2 linked regions of the Saccharomyces cerevisiae S288C genome follow. The protein of the gene in region 1 binds, or shares a complex with, the protein of each later gene. Each region holds a gene or a part of one and is shown in the gene's direction. Other genes may lie near its edges.

Region 1 (3,491 bases):
CTCTTATTAATTTCAAACATCGGGTCCATTTTTCATCCAACGTATAAAATTTCAAAGTGAATAATCTGTCGGTTAAGAGATTTCGAAATTCTGATATGAAAAATTCTCTTGATTCAAATAGATCCAAAAGCACCTCAAACAAATTTGTCTTAATATAACTTGATTTGATGTTACCGGGAATCATGTCATTAGGCTCTGGTACCCAAGCTATATAATAATTGAGTATATGTTCGTATAGCATGGCGTGTCTTATTGGTAGGTCCTTGTTCAATTCCCTCTTTCCTTTCACCTTGAGGTTCCATAGAAAGGGGCTTTTTTTATTCTTGTCCCTTTTGGTGATGTTCGTATCTTGATTGATATCAGAATCGTGCAAAGTGTCTACAAGTGAGAGCAGTGCCTTCATATCTACATTGAAATTAATTTTCTCCTTTAGTTCTTCTTCAGGTAAGTCCAACATTGCGTATAACAATACATTTACTAAGTGCTTCCGCTCCTGAAAGTAAGGTTTAACAAACGTGGTTATTGAATGTAGGCATCTCCCTGTTGGATCCAGGACCAAAAATGCTTTGATAGTTTTAACATATCTCAACAAAGCGTCCACCGTAGTTACGCTGGGGTTTAGAATGTATTTCTTGAAATCAGACAAAAAAGTTGTTACAATATTTGTGTAGTCTTTAAAATCTTTCATAATTTTCCTCAATTCCAATAAAGTAACCTTTGAATCAGGATAAGCCAAAACGCATATATCAAAGATTTCATTCGTTCTTATCCTAAGAAAATTGGACTCAAAACAGTTGAAAACTGTAGTGGTCAGTTCGTGATCATCCTCTGGACAACCGACTAATTTAGAGAACTGAGACCAATATTGATTAATAAATTTGTTGAATGTTTCCATAATCATAAACCTTTTATTCCATACTCTACTCATGTTATCTTCACAAAATTTATTGATTTTGCTGTAAAGAGCATTGACTATCAATTCCGTAGAGGATAAGGAACCATTAGCAGATTTGAGCCATTGGATTAAATTGTCTGCCAGGTCGAAATCATCATCCATTATTAATTTGTCTAATCTTGTTCTTAAATTATTTTTGAACTTTATATTTCTATTCAACAGATAATGTCTTAAAGAATTAAGTTCAAGTGCCCAGTCGTTTACATTTACGTCAAAAATAGGAACGTAACGTAAAGGAAACTCGTAATAATTTTCCCATCGTTGGATATCTTTTAGATAATTAATGTTGTTAAAATGTAAGAAAAAATGATAACGAACCTGGAAAATATAAAACTCTTTGAGCGTGGAAAAAAGTTGTAGTTGTAACTCTTTGTTTGTATTTCCCTCATTAACTATTGAATTGTTTGCCTGACTAGTGTTTATCATGCTATATGGCGATGTGGTTGCGTTATTAGGGAAGAGAACCTTAATGATATTCTTAATACGAAGGCTTGGAGGACGTAGTTGATGGTTACTCTTGGCATCATTAGGGCTCATCCATGTAAGTAAAGAGTTCAAATCATCGACTATGTTTGTGTGAAAGATGTATGAGGAAAGTGTTTGTAACTCATCTGTAATAACTTTCAAATCTCGAGTTGGGGTAATCTGAAATGACATGATGGAAAAACCTTAACTATAAGCCATAAATATTTACAGTCCCGCTAAGTCTGGCTTTCGTCTAGTTTTCGATATTTTGGCTCTTTTGTCTATTACTGTTTTTGTAACCAAAGGTTTGAAAATTTAGATGCAACTAATGAACTTACGCAGTAACATGCAAGTACCCAATAAAAAAAGAAATTTTTGAAGAGACGTTCTTGCATTCAGGACATGGTATGTTTTTAATTTCGTTTCTTTAGTTCTCAGGCTCTTCAAAGTACTAACACTTTATTGGCAAGGGGCGCTCAAATGTGATGCATCATTATAGAGTAATAATAAAATAAAAAGAAAGGATGCAAGCCCGGAACAAGAGGCAATTGAATCATTCACCTCATTAACCAAATGTGACCCCAAGGTATCCAGGAAGTACCTGCAGCGTAATCACTGGAACATCAATTACGCTCTCAATGATTATTATGACAAGGAAATAGGGACGTTTACTGACGAGGTTTCAACTGTGGCTCATCCACCCGTATACCCGAAGGAGCTAACACAGGTATTTGAACACTATATCAATAACAACTTGTTTGATATAGACTCACTGGTCAAGTTCATTGAGGAGCTAGGCTACAATCTTGAAGATTTAGCGACATTATGCTTAGCCCATTTACTGGGGTACAAGAAACTAGAAGAACCCTTAAAACGAGAGGACTTCCTGTCAACATGGTTTATGCAAGGCTGTTCCACCATTTCAGACATGCAAGAGTGCATCAAGACGTTAGATGTTAAATTACATGAAGACTTACAATATTTCACACAGATTTATAACTATGCTTTCAATTTGATTCTGGACCCAAATCGAAAGGATATAGATACAGACGAAGGCATCCAGTATTGGAAGCTATTTTTCCAACCAGAGTACCCAGTGCGTATGGAACCAGATTTGCTTGAGGCATGGTTCCGTTTCCTTCGCGATGAGGGGAAAACCACTATAAGTAAAGACACCTGGCGTATGCTGCTCCTCTTTTTCAAACGATACCCCACTATTCAGAAAATAATAAGCGATTACGACGAAACTGCAGCCTGGCCATTTATTATCGATGAGTTCTATGAGTGCTTACAGGATCAGCAATAAACATCCTTTCATATACTTAAGGGTATGCTGTTTAATATTGCATGGAATACGTTACCCTTCTAAGATAGATGGGAATAAGGCGGAAATAAAAAACGCGATGAGCAGTGGAAAATTTTTCAGAAATTTTCAGTTCCCTCATAATATAGATGTAGATATTGTATAAGGTCGTACGTATATCAGAGTAGCCACTAGAAGGACCAGAGAAACTGGAATAAGAGCTATTATGGTCAAATCATACCAACGTTTTGAGCAAGCAGCTGCTTTTGGTGTAATAGCCTCCAATGCCAATTGTGTTTGGATACCTGCGTCATCCGGAAATAGTAATGGTAGTGGACCAGGACAATTGATTACGAGTGCTCTCGAGGACGTTAATATATGGGATATTAAGACCGGGGATTTGGTCAGTAAATTATCCGATGGCTTACCTCCAGGCGCATCTGATGCTAGAGGCGCCAAGCCAGCCGAGTGTACATATTTGGAGGCTCATAAAGATACGGATTTATTAGCTGTCGGTTACGCAGATGGTGTCATTAAAGTTTGGGATTTGATGTCTAAGACTGTGCTTTTGAATTTTAACGGTCACAAAGCAGCTATAACATTATTACAATTTGATGGGACTGGCACAAGATTAATTTCTGGTTCCAAGGACTCCAATATCATTGTATGGGATCTTGTTGGAGAAGTTGGTCTTTATAAACTTAGATCACACAAGGATTCCATTACTGGCTTTTGGTGTCAAGGAGAAGATTGGCTGATCAGCACCTC
Region 2 (4,881 bases), on another chromosome or scaffold:
GAGGCGCAGTTTGATAAATTAAGACTTCAGGATAAGGGCACCGTTGATGGAAATGTTACCGATGATAAAAATCTTCCAAAAGAGTTTAAATGGGGCCAGTTTGCATCTACCATCGGCTGTCATTCTGCATACACTAGAGACCAAAACTACAATCCTAGTCACAAATCCTACGATGGTTACTCTCTATCATCATCTACCTCATCAAAAAATGCGGCTCTTAGAGAAATTTTAGGTGACATGTGCAGCGAGTGGGGAGGTGAAGAACGACTAGAAGGTGTTCTACATTCAGAAATAGGTGCCAATTTAGAGTTCAACACGACAGAAGAGAGAAAAGAGTGGTTACAATATATCGAAAAGGTAAAAGATTTCTATTACGGTGATAATAAGAAGAACCCAGAATCACCCGAATCAGTACACAACAAAGTTTACAAGTCAGATTGGGTAAATGAGCTCAATAAAGAGAGAGAAAAGTGGCGGAGGTTAAAGCAAAGGAAGTTACAACAGTGGAGACCTCCTTTGACGTCGCTATTACTTGATAATCAATATTTGATTTTGGGTTTGAGGATTTTCACTGGTATATTATCGTGCATTTCACTTGCTCTGGCAATCAAGATTTTTCAAAACTCAAGATCAAATAACACCATCAGTGAAAGTAAAATCGGGCAACAACCAAGCACCATAATGGCCATCTGCGTCAACGCCGTGGCGATTGCGTATATTATTTACATTGCACACGATGAATTTGCTGGTAAACCTGTTGGTTTGAGGAATCCGTTAAGCAAACTGAAACTAATTTTGTTGGACTTACTTTTTATAATTTTTTCAAGCGCTAATCTAGCGCTGGCATTTAATACTCGTTTCGACAAAGAGTGGGTTTGCACTTCTATTCGCAGGTCAAATGGAAGCACGTATGGATACCCAAAAATACCGCGTATCTGCAGAAAACAGGAAGCTTTATCCGCTTTTCTGTTCGTTGCCTTGTTTATGTGGGTAATCACTTTCTCGATCAGTATTGTTAGAGTAGTCGAAAAAGTCAGTTCAATTACCAACAGAAACTGAGCTCGACAAATATAGAAATTAAAAGAATTCTTTTAGATACCAAGATTGACATTTATATGCATTGTATATTTTTGACTTAAAAAATTACTCCGGCTTGGCATTTATTCATTAACGGCGGGTTTGATTATATTAGGCTTTGTGCGATATAATATGTATTACCCGAAGGGAGGGCTATTGCACTTTCTTTTCCTTTCCGTTTTAAGGGCCCTTTTTCATTTCGATGTTTGATGGACACACATGAAGTGAAATGTGGCAAATAGAACATCTAGAAAAACTAGGGCATTAGGTAAAGTACCCCAGCAGAACTTCACTTTACAACGCAATTGATTCATATCACTGCTCTTTTATATTGTCCTTTTTCTCTTTTAGAGCTTTTCATCCGCATCTTCTAACTTCTGTGCACCCCTTTCATTGTTGATTACATTTTACCTCAGTTACACATTTCTTTTAGCAATTCGACATTGCTTCTACTTACCGATAAATAAGCGTACATTTTTGAGTCTTGAAAGGATTCTTACATATACCTAAACAAAGAATAACAACAAAATCGCAAGCAGCAAAGCATGTCTGAGACTCTGCCTAGATCTGATGATTTAGAGGCCACTTGGAACTTTATAGAGCCAGGAATTAACCAAATACTGGGTAATGAGAAAAACCAAGCATCCACGTCTAAGCGAGTTTACAAAATTCTTTCTCCAACCATGTATATGGAAGTCTATACCGCAATTTATAACTACTGTGTGAACAAATCACGCTCGTCTGGACATTTTAGTACTGACAGTAGAACTGGCCAATCAACAATTTTGGTTGGCAGTGAGATTTACGAAAAGTTAAAGAATTATTTGAAGAATTACATTTTAAATTTTAAGCAGTCTAATTCAGAGACCTTTTTGCAGTTTTACGTCAAGCGCTGGAAAAGGTTTACAATAGGTGCCATTTTTTTAAACCATGCATTCGATTATATGAATAGATATTGGGTTCAAAAGGAAAGAAGTGACGGCAAAAGGCATATTTTTGATGTAAACACCTTGTGCTTGATGACATGGAAAGAAGTCATGTTTGATCCGAGTAAAGATGTTTTAATAAACGAATTATTAGACCAGGTAACCTTGGGAAGGGAGGGGCAAATAATTCAAAGAAGTAATATTAGCACTGCCATAAAGTCTTTAGTTGCACTAGGTATCGATCCACAGGATTTGAAAAAGTTGAACCTAAATGTCTACATCCAAGTTTTCGAAAAGCCATTTTTAAAGAAGACTCAGGAGTACTACACGCAATATACAAACGATTATTTAGAGAAACACTCGGTAACTGAGTATATTTTTGAAGCACATGAAATCATCAAACGTGAGGAAAAAGCAATGACAATATATTGGGATGATCATACAAAAAAACCACTATCCATGGCATTAAACAAGGTCTTGATCACAGACCATATTGAAAAGTTGGAAAATGAGTTTGTTGTCCTTCTGGATGCCAGAGATATTGAAAAAATTACTTCTTTGTACGCACTAATACGCAGAGACTTTACATTAATCCCAAGAATGGCTTCAGTGTTTGAAAATTATGTTAAAAAGACAGGTGAGAATGAAATTTCGAGTCTACTGGCAATGCATAAACACAATATTATGAAAAACGAAAACGCAAACCCTAAAAAACTAGCACTAATGACAGCTCACTCCCTTTCTCCTAAAGACTATATCAAGAAATTACTGGAAGTACACGATATATTCTCTAAGATTTTTAATGAAAGTTTCCCCGACGACATACCTTTAGCTAAAGCTCTAGATAATGCGTGTGGTGCTTTCATCAACATCAACGAGTTCGCATTACCTGCTGGATCTCCAAAAAGTGCCACCTCGAAGACTTCCGAGATGCTAGCTAAGTACAGTGATATACTATTAAAGAAGGCCACCAAACCTGAAGTGGCAAGTGACATGTCAGATGAAGATATTATAACAATATTCAAATATTTGACCGACAAAGATGCGTTCGAAACTCATTATAGAAGACTTTTCGCCAAGCGTTTAATTCATGGCACTTCAACATCAGCAGAAGACGAAGAAAATATTATTCAAAGGCTGCAAGCGGCAAATAGTATGGAATATACAGGCAAGATAACTAAAATGTTTCAAGATATTAGACTTTCCAAGATCTTGGAAGACGATTTTGCTGTCGCCCTGAAGAATGAACCAGATTACTCTAAAGCAAAATATCCAGATCTACAACCATTTGTATTGGCAGAAAATATGTGGCCATTTTCATACCAAGAAGTTGAATTTAAGCTACCCAAGGAATTGGTACCATCTCACGAAAAATTGAAGGAGTCATACAGCCAAAAGCATAATGGTAGAATATTGAAGTGGCTATGGCCATTATGTCGTGGCGAATTGAAGGCAGATATTGGAAAACCCGGCAGGATGCCGTTCAACTTTACGGTAACACTGTTTCAAATGGCAATTTTGCTACTATATAACGATGCTGATGTATTAACCTTAGAAAATATTCAAGAGGGCACGAGCTTAACCATTCAGCACATCGCAGCGGCAATGGTACCATTCATCAAATTCAAACTGATTCAACAGGTCCCACCAGGGCTAGATGCTCTCGTGAAACCTGAAACACAATTCAAGCTATCACGTCCTTATAAGGCGCTTAAGACCAATATTAATTTCGCTAGCGGAGTCAAAAACGACATTCTGCAATCGCTATCCGGTGGAGGCCACGATAATCACGGTAATAAGTTAGGAAACAAACGCTTGACGGAAGACGAAAGAATAGAAAAAGAATTGAATACAGAAAGGCAGATTTTCTTGGAAGCTTGTATTGTGAGAATAATGAAAGCGAAAAGAAATCTGCCACATACAACATTGGTCAACGAATGCATTGCGCAATCACACCAAAGGTTCAATGCAAAGGTTTCTATGGTCAAGAGAGCCATCGATAGCTTAATACAAAAGGGATACCTACAGAGGGGAGACGATGGTGAATCGTATGCTTACCTTGCTTAATCATCTTTGAAGGCTTGTGCTGATCGAACGAAGCAAATCCTACGAGTAAATACATAAGCGTATACATATATATATATATATATATATATATATATATATGTATATATATATATGTGTGTGTGTGTAATTGTGTGTATTCAACTGAACTATGAAGAGTCTTTGACCTCTTGAGAATCTCATAGTATGAAGATATGGCACTTCTCTTTCCGTTGTAACATCCTTTACCGGGCGGCTTTTCGGCCTGCTTGAGAAGAGATCAGGCTGAAATGATGAGACTGACAACAAGGATCAGTCAGTGGCAGAGTTGAAATTCCGCTGGAAATCGTCACCAGCAGCTACCAGCTCCAAGAAATCCGCGTAGAAATCACGTCGCGCAATGTGCGATAGTGGTGGAACAGCGAAAATTAGTCACTTTGCAAAGATGCCAAGCTGATCGTTCTCGTTGTGTGTGATTCTACGATATTGCGCATGAGTGGTGTTGAGCATGCGTTTGTTCGCATTTTCATGCAGTCTCTTATATACTAATATATATATGCAACAGATTTCAAAATTTATCTTTCTTCTTGTTGCGTTTAGGCCTTTATTTGCTACACATTTAAAAGTGCAACGACAACCCAAGTAATTGTATACTTTAACAAACCATGTCTGAAAATAACGAATTCCAGAGTGTCACCGAATCGACGACTGCTCCAACCACTAGTAACCCATATGGCCCAAATCCTGCGGATTATCTATCCAATGTTAAGAATTTCCAGTTGATTGATTCAACACTAAGAGAGGGTGAACAATTTGCCAACGCATTCTTCGATAC

Evidence for each region.
Region 2: the proteins of DCN1 (region 1) and CDC53 are in contact, whole or in part, in a crystal structure (PDB 3O6B), measured with the Saccharomyces cerevisiae proteins. Residues at the interface, in NP_013229.1 of Saccharomyces cerevisiae: Asp181 (codon at 2,457), Ser224 (codon at 2,586), Asp226 (codon at 2,592), Arg229 (codon at 2,601), Met230 (codon at 2,604), Leu233 (codon at 2,613), Arg237 (codon at 2,625), Glu250 (codon at 2,664), Thr251 (codon at 2,667), Ala252 (codon at 2,670), Ala253 (codon at 2,673), Trp254 (codon at 2,676), Pro255 (codon at 2,679), Phe256 (codon at 2,682), Ile257 (codon at 2,685), Asp259 (codon at 2,691); in NP_010150.1 of Saccharomyces cerevisiae: His767 (codon at 3,921), Val786 (codon at 3,978), Ser787 (codon at 3,981), Lys790 (codon at 3,990), Arg791 (codon at 3,993), Asp794 (codon at 4,002), Ile797 (codon at 4,011), Gln798 (codon at 4,014), Arg804 (codon at 4,032), Gly805 (codon at 4,035), Asp806 (codon at 4,038), Asp807 (codon at 4,041), Gly808 (codon at 4,044), Glu809 (codon at 4,047), Tyr811 (codon at 4,053).

What each region holds. Positions count from the first base shown.
Region 1 is NC_001144.5:396,708-400,198, forward strand, and holds DCN1 (NEDD8 ligase DCN1), read left to right. Parts: upstream 1-1,822; coding exon 1,823-1,825; intron 1,826-1,919; coding exon 1,920-2,726; downstream 2,727-3,491. Other genes in the region: APC2 (anaphase promoting complex subunit 2), read right to left, coding at 1-1,612; snoRNA-binding rRNA-processing protein DIP2, read left to right, coding at 2,950-3,491. UniProt on the Saccharomyces cerevisiae protein: Required for neddylation of cullin components of SCF-type E3 ubiquitin ligase complexes. Neddylation of cullins play an essential role in the regulation of SCF-type complexes activity.
Region 2 is NC_001136.10:222,682-227,562, forward strand, and holds CDC53 (cullin CDC53), read left to right. Parts: upstream 1-1,622; coding exon 1,623-4,070; downstream 4,071-4,881. Other genes in the region: SRF1 (phospholipase D regulator), read left to right, coding at 1-1,059; homocitrate synthase LYS21, read left to right, coding at 4,712-4,881. UniProt on the Saccharomyces cerevisiae protein: Core component of multiple cullin-RING-based SCF (SKP1-CUL1-F-box) E3 ubiquitin-protein ligase complexes which mediate the ubiquitination and subsequent proteasomal degradation of target proteins.